6 linked regions of the Coturnix japonica genome follow. The protein of the gene in region 1 interacts with the protein of each later gene in a pairwise test. Links are inferred from orthologs where the notes say so. Each region holds a gene or a part of one and is shown in the gene's direction. Other genes may lie near its edges. The genes, in order: PSMF1, PAK5, BEND7, KHDRBS3, FBXO7 and RBFOX2.

The links.
Region 2: the proteins of PSMF1 (region 1) and PAK5 interact in binary tests that used the Homo sapiens proteins (3 or more experiments, as listed by UniProt). The two-hybrid records come from large-scale screens. The link is inferred for Coturnix japonica from reciprocal best matches to the Homo sapiens genes PSMF1 and PAK5.
Region 3: the proteins of PSMF1 (region 1) and BEND7 interact in a two-hybrid assay, tested with the Homo sapiens proteins (2 studies listed by BioGRID and IntAct). The two-hybrid records come from large-scale screens. The link is inferred for Coturnix japonica from reciprocal best matches to the Homo sapiens genes PSMF1 and BEND7.
Region 4: the proteins of PSMF1 (region 1) and KHDRBS3 interact in a two-hybrid assay, tested with the Homo sapiens proteins (2 studies listed by BioGRID and IntAct). The link is inferred for Coturnix japonica from reciprocal best matches to the Homo sapiens genes PSMF1 and KHDRBS3.
Region 5: the proteins of PSMF1 (region 1) and FBXO7 interact in binary tests that used the Homo sapiens proteins (3 or more experiments, as listed by UniProt). The link is inferred for Coturnix japonica from reciprocal best matches to the Homo sapiens genes PSMF1 and FBXO7.
Region 6: the proteins of PSMF1 (region 1) and RBFOX2 interact in a two-hybrid assay, tested with the Homo sapiens proteins (2 studies listed by BioGRID and IntAct). The two-hybrid records come from large-scale screens. The link is inferred for Coturnix japonica from reciprocal best matches to the Homo sapiens genes PSMF1 and RBFOX2.

What each region holds. Positions count from the first base shown.
Region 1 is NC_029535.1:9,165,151-9,168,030, forward strand, and holds the end of PSMF1 (proteasome inhibitor PI31 subunit), read left to right. Parts: intron 1-631; coding exon 632-790; intron 791-925; coding exon 926-977; 3' UTR 978-2,142; downstream 2,143-2,880. UniProt on the Homo sapiens protein: Plays an important role in control of proteasome function. Inhibits the hydrolysis of protein and peptide substrates by the 20S proteasome. Also inhibits the activation of the proteasome by the proteasome regulatory proteins PA700 and PA28.
Region 2 is NC_029518.1:12,079,450-12,083,228, forward strand, and holds part of PAK5 (serine/threonine-protein kinase PAK 5), read left to right. Parts: intron 1-575; coding exon 576-623; intron 624-1,619; coding exon 1,620-2,111; intron 2,112-3,779.
Region 3 is NC_029516.1:6,076,157-6,079,935, reverse strand, and holds part of BEND7 (BEN domain-containing protein 7), read left to right. Parts: intron 1-1,358; coding exon 1,359-1,624; intron 1,625-3,779.
Region 4 is NC_029517.1:128,991,122-128,995,625, forward strand, and holds the start of KHDRBS3 (KH domain-containing, RNA-binding, signal transduction-associated protein 3), read left to right. Parts: upstream 1-1,599; 5' UTR 1,600-1,974; coding exon 1,975-2,062; intron 2,063-4,504. UniProt on the Homo sapiens protein: RNA-binding protein that plays a role in the regulation of alternative splicing and influences mRNA splice site selection and exon inclusion. Binds preferentially to the 5'-[AU]UAAA-3' motif in vitro.
Region 5 is NC_029516.1:48,686,225-48,690,576, reverse strand, and holds the start of FBXO7 (F-box only protein 7), read left to right. Parts: upstream 1-1,299; 5' UTR 1,300-1,500; coding exon 1,501-1,622; intron 1,623-2,854; coding exon 2,855-3,152; intron 3,153-4,352. UniProt on the Homo sapiens protein: Substrate recognition component of a SCF (SKP1-CUL1-F-box protein) E3 ubiquitin-protein ligase complex which mediates the ubiquitination and subsequent proteasomal degradation of target proteins and plays a role in several biological processes such as cell cycle, cell proliferation, or maintenance of chromosome stability.
Region 6 is NC_029516.1:47,483,210-47,486,988, forward strand, and holds part of RBFOX2 (RNA binding protein fox-1 homolog 2), read left to right. Parts: intron 1-1,925; coding exon 1,926-1,979; intron 1,980-2,115; coding exon 2,116-2,208; intron 2,209-2,786; exon of another isoform or gene 2,787-2,854; intron 2,855-3,267; coding exon 3,268-3,400; intron 3,401-3,779. UniProt on the Homo sapiens protein: RNA-binding protein that regulates alternative splicing events by binding to 5'-UGCAUGU-3' elements. Prevents binding of U2AF2 to the 3'-splice site.

The sequences.
Region 1 (2,880 bases):
CTGGGCAGCCAGCCTGGCGTAATGGAACTCATTAGCGCTGTTGTTAATGACTTGTATGATGGCAGTGCTATCCAGAGACTCCAGCCGAGTTTGCATAAAGCCGACGATGAGGAATGGCACTCACAGCATGGGGCAGCTCTGAGGAGCCGCCGTGGTCAGCAAATGACTTCCAGGCAGTGCTTTGGAAAGGTTCGCAGGGTCTGCAGGCTCTTGCAACACTGTGCTCCCCTAGGGGAGCAGGGATGGGACTACAAGTGGCAGTGAGGGCCGGCAGCTCCGATGCATGGTCAGCAGCCCACTGGGGACTTAGCAGCCATGGCTTGTGTTCTGCATGGGCTCATTGCAGGAACTTGAGGGAAGAGGGAAGCTGCTGCTGTTGCTTCCTTCTGCGTGTCTCCAGCTAGAATGAAAGTTTGCCAGTATGGTGGTGCCTTGGATCTGGATATTTGCTCGTGCCCTGGGTTAGGTGTGTGTGCTGCAGCCATAGGGCTCCCATCTCAGTGTAGTGTTAAGCTACAGTTAACACCCTGCGCTGAGCATGTGTTGTGGTGCAGCGTTGGGAAGGGTGCAGGAGGAGTACATTGCTCTTCTGTGCCAATCTCATCTCATTTGCTGCCTTTCCTCTTCCCAGAGGTCGGAGTGGTGGGATGATCGTTGATCCTCTCCGGTCTGGGTTCCCGCAGCCTGGCATTGACCCATCAGCAGGTCTCCCCGGCCGCCTTCCCCCAGGAGCAGTTCCACCTGGAGCCAGATTCGACCCCTTTGGCCCCTTAGGGGCTGGTAGGGCCGGGTAGGTGTATGGCTATGCCTGAGCTGCCACTGCAGCCAAGTACCACAGCATGCTCCCAGTCTGCCCCTGCTCTGCTGCTCCTTCCAGGGTTGTGCTCTTGCTCCTGGTTTGACTTTGTTCTAAATTCCTTTCTAGGCCAGATCCCGACCACCTCCCACCTCCAGGCTATGATGACATGTTCATGTGAGGAGTCACTGAGTGGTTTCTCAGCTAGCTGCAGCCGGAGCAGTCTCCTGGAGCGAGGAGCACTTTCCCCTCTTCATTCCCGTCTTTGGTGGACTTTGATCTTTTCAGCAGCGATTTTCTCTCCCTGCTCAGGGCCATGCTCCTGTGCTTCAGACTGGCTATAAAGGTTTCCATATGCACAGAACAAAAGAGGAGGCAGTAGGTCCATTTCTTTCTCTACTCCTCCAAGAGTAGCCAGCCATGGGTACACAGCAGACACGGGCCTGCGCTGAGCCAGGGCAGTGTTGGGAGCAGTGTGGCGTGCTGAGAGCAGCCCTGGGCTTTGAGGTTTCCTCCTCTTCTTCTCCAGGGTGGCATAGCTTTTGCTGCTGGGATTACGCATGCAGTCAGTGGTAAGGAGGGAGCTGGCTTCTTGCCACTCCCATGCTGGGGAGCTGCAATAGTCTCACTGAAAGCTTCAGCTGGAGAAGGCTTCCAGTGCAGAGATGGTTTCTCTCTTGCTCTTTATCCCAACAGAGTGCTGATCAGCACAGAGGGCTTAAAGCCCATCTCATAGGGTCTGTGTGGGCAGACCCCCAATAGTGGCTCAGGTGGGCTTCTGCATGGATATGCACACTGGATGTGAAGGGCTCCAACAGCAAAGCCTTTGATGTGCATGAAAAGAGACGTACAGTGAATTCCTGGCATTACTTGGCCCCCTGTAGTCCTTCATTCCTGGGGATGTGTGCCAAACCCACAGGCGGTGTGGAGGGCTGCCTATCGGGCACTGTGTTGGGTTGGGGTGGAACAGAGGGGGCTTGGGCGCCTACCTGAACTCTGGGTCCAGCACAGTCTCTCTGTGCCTGGTGGAGCTGAAGGATTTAGAGCTTTGCTTTGCAGCAGGTTTATAGGAACATGTTTTGCTGCTGTCAGTCCTGTGGCATGAGACTTTTGTGGCTCTGCCCAGCTGGACTCTGTGCTGCCACCAGCAAACAGCTTGTGGAGGAAGAACAAGACCTGCATGGGACATAGGATTCTCAGCTCTTTCTGGGACCCCCTCCCTTTCCTGCAGCTCCCCATGAGAGATAATTCTGGGGCTGGAACCCACTGAGGGGTTGAATATTTTCTAATCGTGGTTTGATTTCTTGGAAGGATGTTCATGAGTTTGAAATAAACATCTGACAACAGTGTTGTGTTGGCAGTTGTTGGGGGTGATTCCCCCTGCCCCACTTGGCCACCTCATCTCCCCCACACAAGAAGAGGAGCCCCAAAGCTGCACTTAGGAGCTCCGTTCTGTCTGTGCTTGCCCTACCTGGGGTGGTGGGTTTGAGCTGGAAGCCAGCTTTGTTCTTTCCCTTCAGCAGCATTGCTTTTCTGAGATGATGAGACTCTTATTAAGAAAATTAAGCAGAGAACGGCCCAGCCCTTGTTTGGTGGTAATTGGCTCTCCAGGGCACTGAACACCGCTGTTACACTGCGTGCAGCTGCATAGGCATAAATAAAAAGGGGAAGTGCCCCCCTCTCTCCCTTTTCCCTTAAGGCTTTTCCTTTTAACCCCCTTTCGCCTACAAACACAGCTGATAACAGCTGAGTTGCAGTGTATGCAACCCCAGACTGTGTGCATGTGGGGGCTGGCCATAGAGATTTGGCAGTGGGTGAACTGGAGCAGGGTGAGGCTCCTGTTGTGTCCCCACTGTTCTCCCAGCTCTTGGGCAGCCCCGACCTTGCTGTGTGTGGTTGGGATGTGCAGTGCTGTGGGGAGAGGAAGTGGTTCTGCCTTATCACAGAGGCTCTCTGCGGGAGACAGCTGCTTTCTGCTGCCTGCATTAATCATGTGCTGCAACCTTTCAGGAGGGAGAAACACAGCCTGCTTTGATGGGGCTAATTAAAACGATCCAGCGCCAGGAGAGGATGTGTCGGGTTCT
Region 2 (3,779 bases), on another chromosome or scaffold:
TCTTCTTCATTCCGAGGCTTTTCTCCCCACAACCGAGTGACTCCAGCTAGAATCTCCTCCTCGCTGTGCAGCAGCCTACACTGATAGATTGATGCTGCGGCAGATTTTTTTTCTTCTCTCTCTCTCTCTTTTTCTTTTTTTTTTTTTGCAGTCTTCGCATAAAACGGTCAAATGATGTTCCAGCGCAGAATTCAATTTCACAGTTCAGTTGGGTCCTTGATTACACTGCCAAATTCAGATTAATGTGCATTTAACTAACATGGATCAGGGACTCCTGGCCGGCAGCCAGCAGCAATAGTAGCTGCCGTGAGCTGTGTCGGGGTTGCTGCGCTGTCCACCTCTGTGGGCCGCCGCGGAAATTGATTGATTAAATGAATTCATTGCCGTAATTATTTGTAATCGTGCTACATCATGAGCCTGTGCCTGACCACCCCCAGCCCCTCAGTGCCCCACCTGCCGCCAGGAGTCACGTATGTTATGTCATAAACGTGGAGATGCCCTTTCCTGGGAAAAGAAATTAATACTTTTGTTCCAGGTGCATTTTTTTGACTTAGATCCTTTTCTGTTTTTCACAGATGGAGACAGTTTTGTTTATGAATGCAGAGTATTTGCTGACTTTCATTGTGAGTAGCTTAGAAGAGCTAGGGAAAATACAAGGGAAGAAGGGAACCTGAGATGACAAAGGCCCCCCATTGGGATAATTTCCTCACCATTGTCTCCTATTTGAAATGAAAATGAGCAGTTTTGCCATGCTGCAGTTAAGTAGGGTGTCACTATGGAAAATGACTTAAGTAATGGTGTATTGGATTAGTCTCCTCATTTTAACTTGCTTGGAGAAAGTCCCTTTGAAGGCTCCGCTGAGCATCTCTCACCTCAAGCAGGTTACATGCTCCCCTAGTTGTAGCTCTCTGTTTTATCCGTGTGCTTTGAATTTGGTGCTCTTCTGCTGTTTGTCCATGGTCTGCAGTGCTCCCGCCATGCTGCTACACTGCCGTGGATGCTGCAGCCCTGATACCACTTGTGGGGATGGTGGGGAAGGCCTGGCTATTTTAGGGCTGAAAAGGGTAAAAAAAGAAAAGATGAGAGGGTTGTATCTGCTCTGCGGTGGCTCCGCAAAAGTGAGGACTAACGGGTGAGAGTCAAAAGCCAGAAACTCGTGATGGGAAGGAGAGGCATGAATTTCAGTTTGTGAAAGGGCTTCTTGTTTTGAAAGGGAGCTTCACTGGAAGAAATGGCCCAGAGGACCTGCAGGGCACTGCTAATACAGAGTAAATGCATTCCTTTGGACCATATGCTTTTATTTAACTAAGATTACCATGTCTCCAAATGGGTTCATGGACATAAAAGAGAACCTGGGAGATACAGGAGATATACAGAAGACCCAGTGGTCTTTACTGTCCTCATTTCAGTAGTGATGAGAGGGCATGCAACCTAGTGGTCTATAAATCTGCAGGCGGCAGTGTCCTTCACCGAACAACGAATCCATGCAGGAGCGTGCTGTGCTGGCACCCTGCTGAGCATATCCAGGGTGCAGAAAGAGAATGGAGCTGTCAGGGTCGGCCGGGCAGCTGGAAACACAGCTCTTCACTCATGTCCACTCCTCTGCTTTTGTATTGCAGGTGGATTACGACCGAGCACAGCTGGTAGTTAGCCCACCACTCTGTGGATCAGACACCTACCCAAGGGGCCCAGTAAAGCTACCTCAAAGTCAAAGCAAAGTCAGCTATTCCAGCAGCAGCTACCAGTACCCTCTGGTCTACCACAAAGCATCCCACTACCACCAGCCATCTCTCCAGCCGAGCTCTCCCTATATTTCCACCGCCTCCTACCCCAGCTCCCCAAGTATCACATCAAGTGCTTATCCCCCGCCCAGCTGGGGCTCCTCCTCAGACCAGCAGCCCTCCAGGGTGTCCCACGAACAGTTCAGAGCCGCCCTGCAGCTGGTCGTCAGCCCCGGTGATCCCCGGGAGTACTTGGACAGCTTCATCAAGATCGGGGAGGGCTCCACAGGGATCGTCTGCATCGCCACCGAGAAGCACACGGGAAAGCAAGTTGCTGTGAAGAAAATGGATCTCAGGAAACAGCAGAGGAGGGAGCTGCTGTTCAATGAGGTACGTTGCTGTGGGCAGTGTGGCATAAGATGTGATCTGAACGGAGGCCATGAAGCCGAATTAATGTTTTCCTAAAACAGAGGGGTGAGTCCTGTGCTCATTTATGGTGTCTGAAATAATCCGATCGGTTTCAAATGAGCTACATCTCCTCCTGGCTTTAAACCTGTAATAACATGGTGGGAAGTCACAGTAAACAGCTAAGAAATCTGTTGTCTGGTCCACACAGCTTATCGAGTGCACAGACACTGCCCGGTTGCTTTCTTTGGACCGTTTCTGATACAGTTTATTCTGCTAAGATGGAGGATCCCAGCTGACCTTAACACTGAAGAAGCACACAAGCCATACTCTGGCAAATAGGTGCTTTTTGTTTTCTCCTTGCCTCCCCTCCTAATCATTTGTGATCCCTTTCCTTTCTTGATGGTTAGCAAGCAAAGAGCTGACAATCCATTTTGCTTTTCAGCACCTCCCTCTATCTACACAGGGTAATTAGAGCCTTCCCTGCCTCATGTTTTCTATCCCCGTCCCCTCTCCAACATCCCTCAATATCATGCAGTTGTCGGCACCTTGGCTGAGCTGTTGTTAGTGCGGTCCCTCTCCTGTATATTCACTTCTAGATGTGGTGGTTGAGTTCACAGCATTCATACAAAGTATGCATATGCCTGGCTCAGCATCAGTTTTATGGTAATGTTGAAATGAAGCTGTAATCATTCAAGTGAACTTATTCTCCTTGAGCTTTGTTAGTGTTGCCTTAGGCTTTCTCCAGGAGCACGGTGTTTTTCATGACTACACTCTGGAAGAGCCTTTGTCCCAAACTAACAGCTCTCCTCCAAATTTAGTTTTAGAACCTCCGTGTAGCAGAAATGCTGTGTCACGGCCTGAACCAGTGATTGAGCACCTGGTGGGAAGGCAGGGCCAACCCAGGGGAGCTCAGGTGCATGCAATGTTCCTGAGTGACCAGAAGGGCTGGAGCCAGGATCCACCCCTTCCCAGACCTCATCTAAGAGCTGGCAGGGGAGGCACAAGGATCTGACTGGAGATCCTTGTGTGCTTGAGGCCTTCCAGGGGTGTTTCTGTGTCCATAGCTGTGTAATTTGAGCATATCCTCCCCTGCTGCAGCATAGGGCTTTACTACTACACTGTCATTGCTGCATTTTCCATTGTTACAGCAGTACACTCAGTAATTCGAAGTATTAGAACTTAAAACAAAATACAGTTGTCTATGGAGATAAATGAATTCAGGAAATTTCACAGGTACAGAAATTCCTACAAATGAATCCCCTTCACAAAGGAAGGGCTGTAGATGCTGAGATGCAGCATTGCACTGTGCTCAAAGAATTACTGAACCAGGCTGGTGTGAGGCACAGGTGCCTGAGCTGTCTTGGCACCCATAGAGCAGGGTCAGCTGTCCACCAGGCCTCAAGATATTAATTATTCCAATGCTTGCCATTCTGATGACAACTACAGAGCGCTGACCTGTGTGCTCTTCTTCCCATTTTATTACCTCTGCTGTGGTCTGTGACCCAGGGGCCTCAGATCCCTTTGAGTCTTAGAATCACAGAGCAGCTTGGGTTGGAGGGGACTTCAAAGATCATGTAGTTCCAACCCCCTGCTGGGGGCTGGGAGATGAATAGGCCCAGTATCACCAGCTTTCTGTTAAAGTAATGTGCA
Region 3 (3,779 bases), on another chromosome or scaffold:
AAGTCAAACATTTACAAAAAAAAAAGGACACGAAGGCCCAGTATTACAGTCCTGGCTGGGGCAGGGAATTCTTTGCACACTGATTGCACTGATATTATGGGCCTGATTAAAAATGACTTGTGAGTGAGAGGTACAGACTGGACTTTAAGCCTGAAGAGCTGGTTCCTTGATAGCAAAAGCAGTTCTGATTTACTATATATCTACCCTGTAAACAGTTTGTGAATCTCTTAATGCAAAGGCCAGGGTGTAGTTCATATTTTCTGATACATATGGAAAAATAGCTTTGTAGAGAAAAGAAAATGTTTGGTCTTTTTTGTTGGTAATAGAAAAAACAAAAAGAAAAATGCAAACATGTATGTGAAGGTGTAGTAGCTTCCTTTGGTATTCAGAAGGCCTTCTGTCCAAATGCTAAATGAAAAATTGAAGCATTGTAAGTTGTTATTGGAAATGAAGTGCGCAAGAAATCATTCAATAACCAGTGCAATAAGGTTTCTTTTTTTCCTCAGTCTTTGCAGATGAGGACAGTTTAGTATTTCACTTGTAGTTCGGAACGATTTGAGTGTGGTAAAACAAAGATGTATAGCGCTTCAGATTTCTTTTTCATTTTGCCTTTAATCTTATTAACTGATTCAAGGAGACAAGTCATTGTGTCTGCGGTGTTCTGTCACATTGGTGTGGGTTCAGGACTGGTGCCTTAATGTGTACAAATGACTGTGGATGGTGGGTACCAGAAAATGTGAAACATTGATAAATATAAAATATGATCACTTAGGTTTCAATTGTAAGATGTGAGCTGTCAGCTTCTGTGTATGAGCAAAAAAAACCCATCTGATAGAACTGTGTGACTTCCTTCCTAAAAATTAAACTATTGAAAAGTGTTTTCACTCATTCTTGACATAATAATATTTGAAATGTTCTTGCTGAACTAATTAACTTGGTGACTATGCTCAGAAAAATAACTAATTGCATTCACACTTGTGCTGTTTTGGAGAAGATGCTCAAAAGACAGTGAGATTTTCAGTCATTCAAGAGAGCATACAAATTAATTGTTACTTAAGCCCTCCATGTCACTGACCATCCAGTGGTCAGAAGGAAGAAGAGCCGTGTATTTCTAATTTTCATCAGTGTGTCTTTCAATACCTCATACTGGAGCTCGGTGTCATTATCTCCATTGTACAGACAGGAAAATTATGCAAAGGAGATAAAATGTAACTATTCCACATGCACAAACAGCACTGAAAACTACACCATTTATCCAGAGGATGAGTTCAGTGTGCCTGTAGTTTAATGGTGTGTCTGTGTGGTTATACACGTTTCTTTGTCTATAAATTCAATTCATTACTTTTTTTCTCATTCAGTTGGGACTCAAAACAGACAACAACCTCCTGTTCCTCTGATTTGTGCTCAGAAGTCGACAATATCAAGAAAGAGAAATAAAAAGAAAAAACTACCCCTCAAAACTGGTGAGCCATTTACTATGAATAAGAAAACCAGTGCTGCTGAGAATGATAAGAAGCTGTCAGCGACCCCTGAAAGTTCCAGTCTACAAGCAATTGAACCCTCTCTCAACATAGAAACCCCTCTTACGGGATTTGGAATTATCCTTGAATCAGCTTCATCAGATGTAAGTTATATTTCAATACATTGAATCACAGGTTTTTAAAGCACTGATCTGGGAAAACATGTACGCATGTCAGCTTGAAATGTATCCCGTCTTCATGCTGAATAAACAAGAAAACCTTGGGTAGGTTGGAATGGAGACAGGTGCCTCAGTTTGGATAGTTTTGTTCTTGTTCTCCAGCTTTCTCAAACATGAAGTTCAGTCTTAATTCAAAGCTTCCTGTTGTCTGAGCTTGCAATGGAAATTTGTTCTTCATCTTTCCTGGTCCCAAGAGCCACCATGAGATCAGGAAAGTTCTACGTGTATAACCAGTTCCAAACCTCTGTCATTTATTGACTAATTCAGGTAGTTCACTTGTATGCCCTTACCCTACTGGCATGTAGTCATACACTTTATTTTATGACTGGCTGGTTCTGCTGGCTTCAGAGGTCTTCTCACACCCATAAAACTCATAGCTGAGTCTGCTGAACTGGGTCCTTTAGTCTTCAGTGTTGTGGTTGCTAGATAAGTGCCTTGGCACTGTTGATAATTTCACTGTAACTAAAAGAGCCAAAATTTCTTGCTTTTAAAACATGTACTTGTCACATGTAAAACTGCACTAAGCCTGCTTTATTAATTCACATAACATGTATGCATCAATAGAAACTTCATGTGTTAGGTGGCTGATTTGCCTTGTTTAATGACCAGACAGATGTTGTCTGAACAGTTCACTGATGAGTAAACCCATCATTAATTACTCTAATATATTTTTAATTTTGAGGAGGTAATTTCCAATTTTGTAAATACCGTGAGATAGAAAAGTGTAATTAAATTCAGCATCAGTAAGCGTAAATGAAAACAATTCTGCAGATAATGTTCTACCTTTCTGAAAGGGGGAGCTACTAATGTAAGAGAGCAGTGGTGATAATTCAGTCATACAGATGCAAGCCACACCACTAATTAGGTTGCAGTCTGATGCCATAGGGTCTCTGTAGTGATACGAGGTAACTAGTTCCATGCATTCACTGGGCTTTCTCAGAGTTCCTTTTGTAGTATGATACTTCCCAATGTTTGAGGGAATGTTCTGGGGTGAGGCCAATTATTTATCACCAGTGTGTTTTTCCTGCTTGCACTTTGTCTTTGCTCGTGGCACTCTTTTCAGCTTGAAACATAGTTTTGAAAGCAGTGCTTTTGTTTTGTGCTTGCAATGGAATTTAATTTGACATTATGAATGTGTTTCATTGCTGGGCACAGTCCTTTGTAGATGCCAATTTGAACTTAAGAAAGAACAGCAAACGTGCGCTTCATAAATCAGATCTTCATCTGCCCTCCCGTGCTTCAGACTGCATGTGCCACAGTAGTTGTTTGAATAGTTACAGAACTCCAAGACAAACAAATTGACTTTTGTTTTGCCTTTGGAAATAAAATCATTGAGTTCTGAAAAGAGATATATTTAACAGTGAAAATAAAATGTGACCTTAAACGTTTTGAGCAAGCTAAATAAAGTCATTTCTTTCTGAATGAATGGCAGTATTATCTTTTTCTGTTTAGTCATAAGGATTTCTTGTGTGCTCACTACCAGCATGTCTGAGTGCCTAAGGAAACTGGAAGACATTTTGCATAGCGCTGTAATTTAATGTTCTCTTTACGATATTGCATGGGTCGTGGGGTCATACACAGTACTGCTGCCACTGTAGTTTTCCCAGTGTTCAGTGAACTTTAAGGTCGTAGAATAATCTGAGTTGGAAGATATCATGGGTTTGAAGTATCACTGAGTCCCGGCTCAACACAAACCACCCCAAATCCCAACCCAGTGTCTGAAAGCATTGGCCAAACACTCCTTGAACTCAGCTCAGGGCTGTGCCTGCTGCCCTGGTCAGGCTGTTCCATGCACACTGCCCTCTGATGCAGACCCTTCCCTAACACCCCCTGCCCCTCCCCTGACAGCTCCATGCTGTTCCCTCAGGTCCTGTTGCTGTCACAGAGAGCAGGGCTCAGTGTCTGCCCTGTGAGTCCTCCCCTCTGTCTTCTTTGGGCTGAACAAACCAAGAGACCTCAACCACTCCAATGCACCTTATCCCCCGGACCCCTCACCATCTTTGTAGCCCTCTAATAGTTAGCTGTCCTTTTTGTGCTCTGGTGCCCAGACTGCACCCAGTGCCAGGAGGTGAGGCCACAC
Region 4 (4,504 bases), on another chromosome or scaffold:
TCCTATAGCTCCCATTTCCCATCTTTCTTGTCATCTTCTATTTCTATTACATCCTAGTGAATTTCACTTGAGAATACAATGTACAATACTTCTTATGTGCAAGTTTTGATTTTCAACAGTAGGATAAAATGTGGTAATTTTACGCTTCATACATTACTATAGACCTGATGAAAAACAACTCTACAGACATCCAGTAAGTCTTTTTGTATTTCAAGTCAGGGAGAATTGTTATACTTTGGGAAGAAATACTGTGGCTTTCTGAAACATCAAATGTTTATTTAATCAGGTACTAGGAGGAATATGACTTTTTCCAAGAAAAGCACGCTGTATTTTATGCCATTTCTATAATATATCTACTTTTCTTTCTGAGGTTCTGTTTGCTGCAGAGGGACTGTAAATACATTTTTAGTTTTACTAGCAGAGGTAGGGATTATTTTGCTCCAGGTCACTCAATAAAGATTGCACTCCTACATATTGTCCTGTGTCACCTTCTCCCTCTTTCACAACAGATGGCTGCCTTTCAGGAGGTTTTTCTTTTTTTATATAGAAGATTTAGATGGAGGATTGAAATAAAAAACTCATTACAACCCAACTTTCTGCAGTTGCTCGCGTGTTTGTTGTCTGCTCATACGCCTGTCAAGTTTGATGTCATGCAGGAGAATATTCAAGAATATATATTTTTTAGTACATCTATTTCTGGTTCTTGTTACTGCTGGGTCAGATTTATTTGGAAGGGTCGGAAGGAGAATGTAAATCAAACAGACGTTATACTGTAGCACAGCAAACATTGTTTTATGTGGCATTCCAGTCCATAAAATAGAACAAGAAGCAAAGTATCTCCTGTTTGAAAGGTGAAGGAGCACACGGAGCTCTGAGGAAGGAGCCTTAACCTTTTAACTCGGAGTGACTTCTCTTACATTTTTACAGGGCTTTCTGTCCCCGTCTATGACTAAAAAGAGGATATGATTAAAACCTACTGCAAATCTATTTGGCATGAAATACAAAAGGCAGCGTGAGATGATTATGATCACAGAGACAAACCACTTCTATCTCTAAGGTTCCTTCCAACCCGCACGAGACTATTACTATACTATTACTATTACTATTACTATTACTATTACTATTACTATTACTATTACTATTACTATTACTATTACTATTACACTTTCGGTGGCCTTTCATTGGGTGAAAGCCAAAATTCAGCGTGGTGATTTCAGCTACAGTGATTTGGTCCCCTTTGTGCCGTGTTACAGAGGAGGACACACGTCCTTGCTTCCCGTGGGCTTTGTCACTGCGTGAACAGAACGACCACTATTTGGGGGGAGAAAATAAGTTAAAATCGTGCTTTTGGTTCTCATTTAACAACCAAAATCCTCCCCTTTCGTATGTACCCGATGTACCCAATGGGAGTCGGCACAGGAGCAGGCGGGGCGACTCGGCGGGGGCTGAAGCAGCACCGCCCATAGGGAGGGCAGAGCACCGCCCATAGGGAGGGGCTGTGTGTTCGGGGAGGGGCTTAGGGCGGTGTGGGGGCGGGGCCTGTGCGGAGGTATTTAAACCCGGGGCAGGGGAATTTGTTCGCTCAGTTGGTGCGGTGCCGTGGAGGGTGTTTGTTGTGTGTCTGCTGTCTCTTTTGTTTTTAACACGCTTTTCTTCGGCGCCCGTGTGTACACGGAAGGGGCGCGTCCCGGCTGGGCTCGGCGGCTCTCGGAGCCCCTTTTTATCCGTTCTCCTCCGCCCCGTGCGCTTCCACTGAGGGATTTCTTCGCGTCCCGCACCCGGGGGGCCGCCCCCCTTCCTTTCCCTTCCCCTCTCGGCCGGAGACTCGCGGCGCTTCCCTCTGGATGCGTCCCCGCAGCCCCAGGCGGGAGGCGGCCGGGGGGAAGCGCTGCCTCCAAGGATTTACCGACCCAACCCCGCGCCATCTCCTTCCCCGCGGGCGCTCCGTTACCGCCCCGGACCTCTACCGCCGTTATGGACGAGAGGTATCTGCCCGAGCTGATGGCGGAGAAGGACTCGTTGGACCCGTCCTTCACGCACACCCTGCGGCTGGTCAACCAAGGTGAGGGGCGCGGCGGGCGAGCGGCGGCGGCCCCTTCCTTCCATCCTTCCATCCTTCTATCCTTCCATCCTTCCGCGCTGCTGGAAGTTTCCGCGGAGACGCCCGACGCGGAGGGGCGCGGAGACCGCCCACCGTCACGGCGGCGATTTGTTCTATATCCTATGGCTGTTGCTGAGGTGCTGCCCGGCTCCTGAACTCCCCCCCCCGTCCTGCCCGCGGGTGACTGAGGGCGGTTTCCTCTAGCCCTGCTCGGGTCTGAGGTGCTTTAAATTATAGTGTTCCGAGTTGAGCTGCTGTGTAGGATGGGTTGAAGTTTTGGGGCAGTTAAGCCCGTGGGTGTTTCCCTCTTTCACCCTCCAGCGTAATTAGCTTAGTGGTTGTAGACGTGTCCCAGTTGGACAGAGCCTGCATCTTTGTTTCGGATCTGCTGCCACTGTAACTCCAGTATTAAAGAGCAAACAACGCATTTGGTTGCCTTTACCCAAAACAGTGAACATGCTTCTTTTCAAATACTCAGCTCCAGATAGTCCCAGTGATCCCTGTGCCTCTGACACGTCCTGTCGTACTGGCTCTTTGTTTCAGTAATGCTGAGTAGAAAAGCAGTGCCATGTGACCTGGGCTGTGTGGCTCGGTGTAAATCACCTGCCCGTTACACATCTCTGTATTTACAAGTCCTGCTCTGTATTTAGACACTCTGAACGTTTAGCATGCTGGATTGAAGCAAGTTAGGGACCGGTCTTCCAGTGTAACTCAGTGGCAGCTAAATGTTTATTGCTTCAGTTGAAGTGATAGCGTAGCTGTATGATGTACTGCATGCTACAGGGATAGGGCTACATCAGTGTGACTTCTTCCAGTGCACTGACATACTGCTTGATGTGTAATGGACTGCAAATGCCAGCCTTTAAATTGGAAGGAGACTCAACTGCTGTCCAAAATGTTCTGGTGTTACTGTTAGTTTCAGCTGTGGAATGTGTATACTGGGTGACTTGCAGCTGCCTGCCCTTGGGCTGTTGACATTCTGCCTATTTACTCCCATTTTGATTTTGTCTAAGTGCCACTGATAGCGAGAGAAAGCTCTTTGTTAACACAGCTCTCTATTTCCGTGTTCCCTATTAAAGAAATGCTAAAAGCTGACTCGATGGCTCAGAATTTAAGGCTGCAAGTTAGTGAAGTTACTTTAAGTTAATACTGGCAGAACCTTTACACAATTTGTACAAGTTGTAGACGTATGTAAATTATTTCCAGTATTCTTTATAGAAGTACATACAATTCTCCAGTTATTACTGCAGAATAATCACTTTTGTAAGCTGATAGATTTTGGAGTTCTCATTCAGATGGGCAATTAGGAGGCAGAAATGTCTACCTGCTTTTATTGTATAATACTTGTACCTATCTGCATACCTGTGGCTCCAAGAACAATTAATGTATTCATAGATAGGAAAGTGGATGGTTGTGGTTCTAACCTCTTTATTTTAGTCTCCCTGAAATTTTTGCCTATATTGGAAGTCTTGCCTTAAATGTGATTAAAGTGTTCACATGTTAGGTAAAAAACCGAAGCAAGACAACTATCAGCCAGTTAACTGTAGTTTAAAATGTATTTCATTAGCTGCTATCTAAAACCCTTTTAGGCAGTTGTACAGTTGAAGAACCAAGTGAGGTGAGTTGAATGTCTAATAGAACTGAGAAACTCACTGTTTTGAGAAAAGATGTTTAACAGAACTTTATCAGTGGCTGGTTCATTTATTTCAGTTGATATTCACAGTTAAGTGAGTACAGTCATTAGTGGCAAAGTGTGTTATTTTTGCTTGTTCTTCATATGCCAACTCCAGTGAGTTCTTTCTGTGATAAAACAGCAAGGCAGATTAAGTGGCTTGTAGTGTTTTTTTTTAAAGCTGAAGTTGCTTAGTTTCTCGGTTTAGAATGAAGCATGTTTCAGAGTTCAGCTTAGCCTAGGTGTGTGAGAGCGTCTTAGCAGTGGCTTTAGGTGCTTAAAATAACTAGCTTAATTACGTAATGGTGTTTTAATGTCTTAAGAGTGTTACATATAGGATTTGCATTTACTTTAACTGAATAAACTCAGGATTGATGCTTGGGAATTCTATGGTTGAACTTGCAGATCTTCCTGAGATTCTCCACCCGCACTTCAGTTGCTTCAACACCAACAGAAGAGCAGAGTAGCTGAAATAACTACCCATGCTGAAACTCAGCTTCTAGGCTAGGGAAAAGTGGCCTGTATATAGACTTCCAAAAATCTGTTAATTACAGCTTTCGCACAGAAGTGGACACATTTGCATGTTACGCTCATAATTACAAACTATAATTTGGATACATACAAATTACGTAATTGCAAATGATACAGAAAGAGCTCGACATGCTTTGTTGTTTCAGAGGAGTCACTTGAAACACAATACAGAGATGACTAGGATGCTGCCGGAATACTTC
Region 5 (4,352 bases), on another chromosome or scaffold:
TTTAGTTTGCATTTCTGACCTCTATAACTGTCCTGTCCTAGTACCTGAACCTGGACTACTTGATTCACTTTTAACAAAGTTCATTTAACAAGTCAGTGCTCTCACAGTGCATGCTGGCCTCACAGCTAAGAGTTGCAAAGGTGCTGCTAATGCAGAGATACCAAACTCTGTTTCTGAGGTGTCACTTCAAAGAATTTTGCTCTGCATGTAGCTCAATAGTGATATATATAGCACGTAGTTCAATAGTGAAAAGGATTATATAAAGAACAAAAGTGTTAAGGTGCTTGTGAGACGTAGTTTGATCTACAAGGACCTTAAGATTTCCTTGATAAACTTATAAACTCTTATATAGGACAAGATTGCCTAAGATATCTAAGATCATATATTCTGTGATTCAGGTTCCTCTCCAATCTGAGGTTCTCACATCATAGCTGACAGCATTGGAACAAAGACAGTATAGCAGCCAATTGGTCCTGAAGGATGTTCTGAAGGACATTTCCGATTCAGACACCTCTGTCATTTTTTTTTTTACAGCCTCCAGTAGAGGACTACATTGATGTTTGGTCAAGAATGATGAAGGAAAGCAATAGAAATTATACTCCATATGGAGTATGGATATTATAGAATTATGCTCCATATGGAGCACATATTTTCATCAGGAGTAGAGCAGTTAAAAGCCACAAAAAGAAACGTAGGATGCTGCATAAGGGCCAGCAGCCAACCTGAGATGTGAAGCAGAGCCTCGATAAAGGTATTAGCTATACAACACTAGTATAAAGGAAGATTAAGGTTAGATGTTAGGAAACAATTCTTTACTCAGTAGGCAGCGCTGCCCAAAGGTCTGTGGGTGCCCCATGACTGGAGGCATTCAAAGCTGGGTTGGATGGGGACCTAAGCAGCCTCAGCTGGGGAGTGGCAGCCCTGTGCATAGAAAGGGGTGGGAAATCAACAATCTTTGAGGTCTCTTCTGACCTAAACCATTTTACGATTCTACGATTTCAATACTTTTTTTGTAGAGTGCCTTGCCCAGCCTGAGCTCAGTTTGATACTTGATTACTGGAAACTGCAGAAATGGTCACAATGCTGAAGAGATACAAAACACTCCAGCCAACCTTCTCCAAGACTCAGGAGAGCGGTTCCTGACAGGCACAGCGCTCGCAGTGCCCTCACTGCACTTAGCTGCCACGGCGCTCACAGCCACCTTCCCGCCTCATACCTCCCCGCCACGGCGCGCCACCCGTGCGCATGCGCAGCAGCGACCCGCTCGCGCCGCACCACGGGCGGCGGCCATCTTGGCACACCGAGCAACCGCTCCTCGGGCAGCGGGGGCGGGGCCGGCCGGAGGCGGAGCCGGCCGGGGGCAGAGGCGGCGCCGCGCCAACCCAAACACCGCCACGCCCCGGCAGCCCTTGCGCCCGCTGCCCGCCACCATCGTTAGCCGGCGGGGGCCCGCTCGGAACGTCAAGCGGGCGGAAGCGCGGCCCCGCCGGCCCCGCCGCCATGAAGCTTCGCGTGCGGCTGCAGAAACGAACGGCGCCGCTGGAGCTGGAGGGGGCGGAGCCAACGCTGGGGGAGTTGCGCGCGCAGCTCCGCCGGGCCCTGCTTCCAGCCTGGGGCTACAGGTAGCGCGCGGAGCGAACCATCCCGCGGCGGCGGGGGGGCGGCCGGGAGCGGGGCCGAACCACGCGGGGTGGGGTCGGGGCGGCCCGGCCCGTTTCTCTTCCCTAACCCACCCCTGGCCGAGACGTGGCGCTGCCGCCCCCTGTGGGGAGAGGTCCGTGGGAGCTGTGCGGGGCCTGGCCACGGGTTGGGAGAGGCGTCCTCTGTCGCACGGGAGCGCAGTGCGAACGGTTGTGAGGTGAAACTTAATAAAAACTTAGAAAAAGTTTTGCTCCAGTGTACCTGGAGAGCGAATCGGGGGGGAAACTTCAAACTGTAATTATTTCCTCACTTTTGCTGTAGTGTATTGCTGAGTGTTACTGAATGACAGAATTGTAGGGCTTGACATTCTGTACGGTGTGGTGGGGACTTCTGGAGATCATCTAATCCAATGCCCTGCTAAAGCAGGTTCCCTACAGTAGCATATACAGGAAAGCAATTGGGTGGGTTTTGAGTATCTCCAGAGAAGGAGATACTCCGCAACCTTTCTGGGCAGCTTGTTCCACTGCTCTGTCACACTCACAGTAAAGAAGTTTTTCTTCATGTTCACGTGGAATTTCCTATGTTCCGGTTCGTGTCTGTTGCCCCTTGTTCTGATGCAGGCCACCACTGAAAGGAGCTTGGCCCCATCCATTTGACTCTTATCAGCATTGATAAGATTTCCCCCTCAAGACTTCTCCAGGTGGAACAATCCCAAGGCTCTCAGCCTTTCCTCATATGGGAATGCTCCATGCTTTCCATCTTCTCAGTGGCACTCTGCTGGGCTCTCTTAGAAGTTCCCTGGCTTTCTTGAACTGGGCTGCCCAGAACACAGTACTCCAGCAGGGCAAAGAAGAGAGGGAGGATGACCTCCTTTGACTTGCTGGCCATGCTCTTTGCAATGCACCTAGGATGCTGTTGGCCTTTGGGCCACAAGGGCACACTGCTGGCTCATGGCCAACCTGTTGCCCACCAGGGCACCCAGTTCCTTCTGCTGCAGAGATCTTTTTCAGTAGGTCACCCCTCACCTGTTCCAGTGCATGCAGTTATTCCTTCCCAGGTGTAGGACTCTGTGCTTGCCCTTGTTGAACCTTACTGATAGATTAGAACCCAAAGGAATAACATTTGTAGAACATAGTATGCTTTTCTAACTATACCTCTGTGTACAGCTACTCAAATGCAGCTAACCATATTTCCTTATTCTGTTATTTTACAGTTCTGATACAGAGTTTTCAATAACGTTGAATGGGAAGGATGCTCTTACAGAAGATGAGAAGACTTTAGTTTCATATGGGATAGTTCCTGGTGATTTGTTATGTTTATTACTAGAAGAAACAGATGCCAAATCCAGCCTACCTCCTCCCTCATCTTCTAATCCTCCCTCACTTCAGAATGGTCATGAGATATCCACCTTAACTCCCAAAAGTCAGGCTGACAGTCCAAAAGAAGAAAGGCAGAATGAAGAGTCTGACAACCAGAAATCTCAAGCGGAAGCTCAGAAAAGTGACAGTAGGGTAAGCACGTGAGAATTGACTTGACAAAAGACAAAAAATGAGGTATCTTACATCAGGTGATGCCCTGCATATCAAAGAATTGCTTCAGAATATTTGACTAGTTCTGACTGTCTGATAATGTAACCAGTTATTTGGATGGAAAGCTGTCTCCATCATTACTTGTTATGTCCTGGTTCCAAGTTCTAGTGCCTCAGTGCTACCTTGAAAAAAATTACTTGAGGTACCACACAAATGCAGCAAATACTGAAATATCACTCTCACGTTGAGCATGTGTGATTCCATTCTCGTGGTTATAGCAGTTTTCTAGGATTCAGATGGCCTGCTTGGAATGAGAGATCTGTCTATCTTGTGCATGAAGTTTAACAGTGCTAAGGTAGCATTGTGCTTCAGAAGTGTACATTTGTATGAAGCCACAAACCTGTTTCCAGTTAATAGACATGTCTTATGCATGTTTTGCAGTGATTTGTTTGTGACTGTAGATAGAACAGTTAAGCAGACAACTGCATCTGCCAGCTGCTAGTTGTGTGGTGAAAGTGGTTTTTCTAGAAGAGACCCCTAGGTGCCGTGCTGCTTGGTGCCTGTCTCATTATTTGATTTTGTCCCTTCCTAGACAGGAGCTTGAGAAGATGTTTATTTGTTCTTTGATTTTGGATTAATTGTCAAATACAAAATATCACTCGCTCCGACCTTCATATGAGAAATATTGCCAAACATATGTATAAGGTATTGTTTCAAAGTACAGGAATTAAGATTTAGGATCCAAAGAATTCTGAGTAGTGAAGGAGAATGTAGTTGGACCGTTGTCCCATTGATTCTTGCCAGGAGCAAAGCAGCATTAGTACATTGGTGCTGTGGGCATGCAAGCCCATGCAAGAAAGGAAATGACAATAAAGCCACAGTCTTCTTGAAATGTCAGCAAATGCTTTCTGTTAATGATTATTTTAGCTATTTAAGCCTATTGCATTTCTAAGGAGTCTGAGTTAATCATGTTGGTTTCTTGCTATGCACGTTGAAGTACCACAATAATTGTTCCTTTAAGTGTTGCAAGAATTCTGACAAATGTTTAATAATTTATTATCAATTTGCAAGAAAATGACAGACTTTTTAAATGAAAGACTTGCATTACAAGTATTGAAAAAATACAGAGGCTGTGTATATAATCCCAGTCTCCAACTGGGATGCTAGAAAACAGAGATGAAT
Region 6 (3,779 bases), on another chromosome or scaffold:
CCCCCAAGCAGCTGGGAAAATAGAGGCACTGGGCTATTTGTATGTTCCCTTGTTGCAGGCTGTGTCTGGCATTCATTCATTTTCCAACAAACCTGAATAGAGAATGACCAAGTTGTTTGGGCGATGAAGCCCCTGTTTTACTGGGCTATCTAGGTTCTTATGTCTGTGCAGTGATTTTACTGCATAGGCACATATATAGCATTAAAAAGTCATTCTTCTCCTGTCTGAACTGAATGCTGCTTTGATAAGCATTTTGAATTTCAATCTTAGTCCTGAGCCAAGCAGGAAAAATTCTTCTTGGCCTGAAAATGTTCCTGAACAGCTTCAACAAGCAGGAAGCTTGTTGCATAGGTAGTTGCTTGTGCAAGAATCTCTTCTAATTACAACCTAAGATTCAGAAACAAGAAAATAAAGATTTTTTTTTGTGGTTCTGCTCCTGAGTTGTTGTGTGGCTCCTTGCAGATCATATAGTTGGTGGTTTTTTTTGGTTGTAGAACTGGGGAAGCAGGGACAGGCAGAAAGGTTGGGATTCTGGCTTTTAGTATTTGAAAGGAATTAGGAAATCTTATAGTGAAAGGCAGTACAACCATGTTACATGCGCATGAGAGGAAGGACAGAAATTGTGTATGGCTGTTTGGTATCAAAACCTGGTCTTAGGACTTGGGAAACGTGGTAACAGGAATATTGTGCCTTAGCAGCCTGCGGTGTTTGCTTTAAAACTGTGCAAGGGACTCGGTATTAGGCCAAGCATAAGGCATGCTAGCAAGTGGTGGTACAATTGTTTCAGTGTCACAGGGCCGATCCCAATCCAGTTATTGTTATCACTTGCATTAGTGTTTGCCAGCAAGGTGTGCAGTGCAGGACAGCTTGCCCACACTCACAGAGGAAGCATGCATTGCATCTCACTGGTTCACATGGGGGAGTGGTGTTGATGGGCTGCACCTCATGAGGTTTCTAGGCTGAGTAGGAGTGGTGAAAGTGCAGTGTGTGTATCAGGACTCCTAAAGCTAGATAGAGGAGAGGTTGGAATCTTTTTCAATAGAAATAGTTGTGTGATTGCTAGCTGAGCAGATACAGTCTTCCCTCCTCTTTCCATGCCAGCCCAGATCACGTTGTTAGTTCTACACCCATCTTTGTGTGCCCAAAGAGGAAGCTGGTAGGGATGGCAGACAGGTTTCTAGATCTGACAGGGGAACGTGCTCTTCCTCACTCCCCTTCCACAGTGGCAGGCCAGTGGTGGCTCCTTTAAGCATTATTCTCCTGTGTGTTTTGTGTTGATGACTTCAGTTCTTGCCAGTTATCCAGATGATATTAAAACCAGTTCTCTGGGAAGGCTTTCATCTGGAAAGGAGCGTAAAGATGATAGGAAACTCTAAAATAACACGGAGAGGAGCAAATGTGAGATGAGGAGAGTGAATTGCTTTTTTTGCAGTGCAGTCGTGCAATCCAGTTAGTGAGGAAATCTCAATCACTGATGCTTTTTAGATCTCTAGCAAATATGACAGAGAGGTGATTTGAGAATTTAAAGGTGTAAATTGACTTCCCTGTGGCTTCGGAGAGGTTTTTGGATCCACGTGAATGCGTGGAGGAGCTGACAGCATGGTTCACACAGGGAATGTAGGTCTGTGCGGTGCTCGCGGCAAGTACGTGTCTGAGGCAGTTGGCAATTCCCTCAGTGCCCTCCTGCAGGTCAGCTGGCGTTTGGCTGTTCCCTTCAGTACAGCAACCTACACCTAGACCTCGATGTTAGAAAAAAGCAGTTGGCCTCCATCTACACCAAGGGGGATTGTGGTGAAGCAGAAATTCGAAAGAGCTGCTGCATGTGAAGCTGGGGCGCATGCACAAGATCCGTTCCCTGTACCCACGCTGCCTGCTCCTTCTCTTGGTGTAGATTCTGGCATTCACTGCAGTCTTTGTTGTTTCAGGTTGGAAGTTGAGTCCTGTGGTTGGAGCGGTGTACGGCCCTGAGTTATATGCAGGTAGAGCTTCAGCAGACACTTCCACTTCTGCCATTTAACTGCAGTGGTGTTTGTTTATGTTCTCAATTTGCTGTTTCTTTATAACCTTTTTACGTTTTTGTTTTTGTTTTTTTCATTCTTTTTAAAATTAAATTAGCGTCCAGCTTTCAAGCAGATGTCTCGCTGGGCAATGACGCCGCAGTGCCCCTGTCAGGAAGGGGGGGTATTAACACTTACATTCCTTTAATCAGTAAGTAGCCCCCATTGGCCCCTCTCTTGTTACTGTGCTTGAGTTAACTATGACCTGTTTCCCTTCTTTTCTCCGGTCTGTACGATATATACTTGAAAGGATGGGTCTTGTCGGGAATGAGTTTACCTATAGCCCAAGTATGCTGCGCAGTGGCTGTAACCCGTTCATCTGCAGTTTTTCTGTACTATGAATGGGTTCATCTATGTGACAAGGAGGCTGCAGACCTAGGGGAGGGTGTGTGCAAGGAATAGGCCGTTCCCTTTATTTCCCTCCGCCCCTTGGGAATCAAAGAAACCAAACGGACAGTTCCTAAAGTACATATTAGACAAGCTGTCCAGCTTTGAGTGCACAGGGCCCCTTGGTGTGCACCTGGGTGCACACCAGGTTGGGTTCATGCCTCTCCACTTGTCCCTCTTGGTACCTACTCATGACGTGTCTGCAGATGCCTCTAGGGCTTCACGTCATTCCACGGTGAGCCAGCATCAAGTATAATAACGTTAAATGAAGAGGGGCTCTCAGTAAGCTGGCACTTTATGGGAAGTTTCTGCTGCTGTTATATGGGCTATCTTGTCTTTCAGGCTTTAAAATGAACATACAGAGGATTGGGTGGCAAAGAGTGGGAGGGGAAAGGAGGGAAGAGACTGATGTAAGTTGATTGACTTTAAGGGCCTCTTGACAAATTATTTTAAAGAGCCTCTGCAGTTTTGGAAGAGCCGCCTGCTATATTGATAGTAACTCTCTGCGCTTCTCGGACTCTAACCAGACTGCATGGCGGTGTCAGAGGGGGGGATTTGGACCCTGTTTGTGGTGGGTGAGGCATGCCAATGCATTAACCTCTTGCATGCCAAACCTCTCTGCAACCCCTCCTCCCTGAAAGGCCATGGTGTAGCAGGACGTATGTATACGATGCTTGCTGGGTTAGAAGCATGCCCCTCCGCAGGATTGATGCAAAACATCCCACCGCTGCGGAGCTCTTGTGTCACTTTGTTTGAAGCAGGCGGTTGTTCCCTGGGCAGGAGCTGGGATCCTTTTCACCTTCTCTCTTGTCTGTCTTTACAGTTCCAGGCTTCCCCTATCCAACTGCAGCCACTACAGCAGCCGCATTTCGGGGAGCCCACCTGAGGGGCCGAGGAAGGACGGTTTATGGGGCAGTCCGGGCAGTACCTCCTACAGCCATCCCTGCCTACCCAGGGTAAGCATTGGTCGCAAGAGCAGAGTGCTCTGCACAACCGTGTCAAATAATAAATTGGCTAACAAAAACGTAACTAAAATTGTTGGATGGTGAGAGTCAGGCTATTTGCTTAGCGCCAGAGTGTTCTGCATACGATGGCATCCAATGGGGGCAGTCCTAAATTTTGCTACATTAAGTTCATGCCTGAGAGAATGTTCAGTACTTGCAACAGCCTGAAGTGCTGATGTACTCCTTCTCAGAATTTCTCAATTCATCTTCTGGTATTTGTCATCCATTGACCCAATACATTGCAGCACTACTGAGAAGGACGCAAAGAGGGGTCTAAGATGTCCTAAAAAGTTACAACTCTCTGCACTCGTATTGTGGTTTTCTTGCCCAG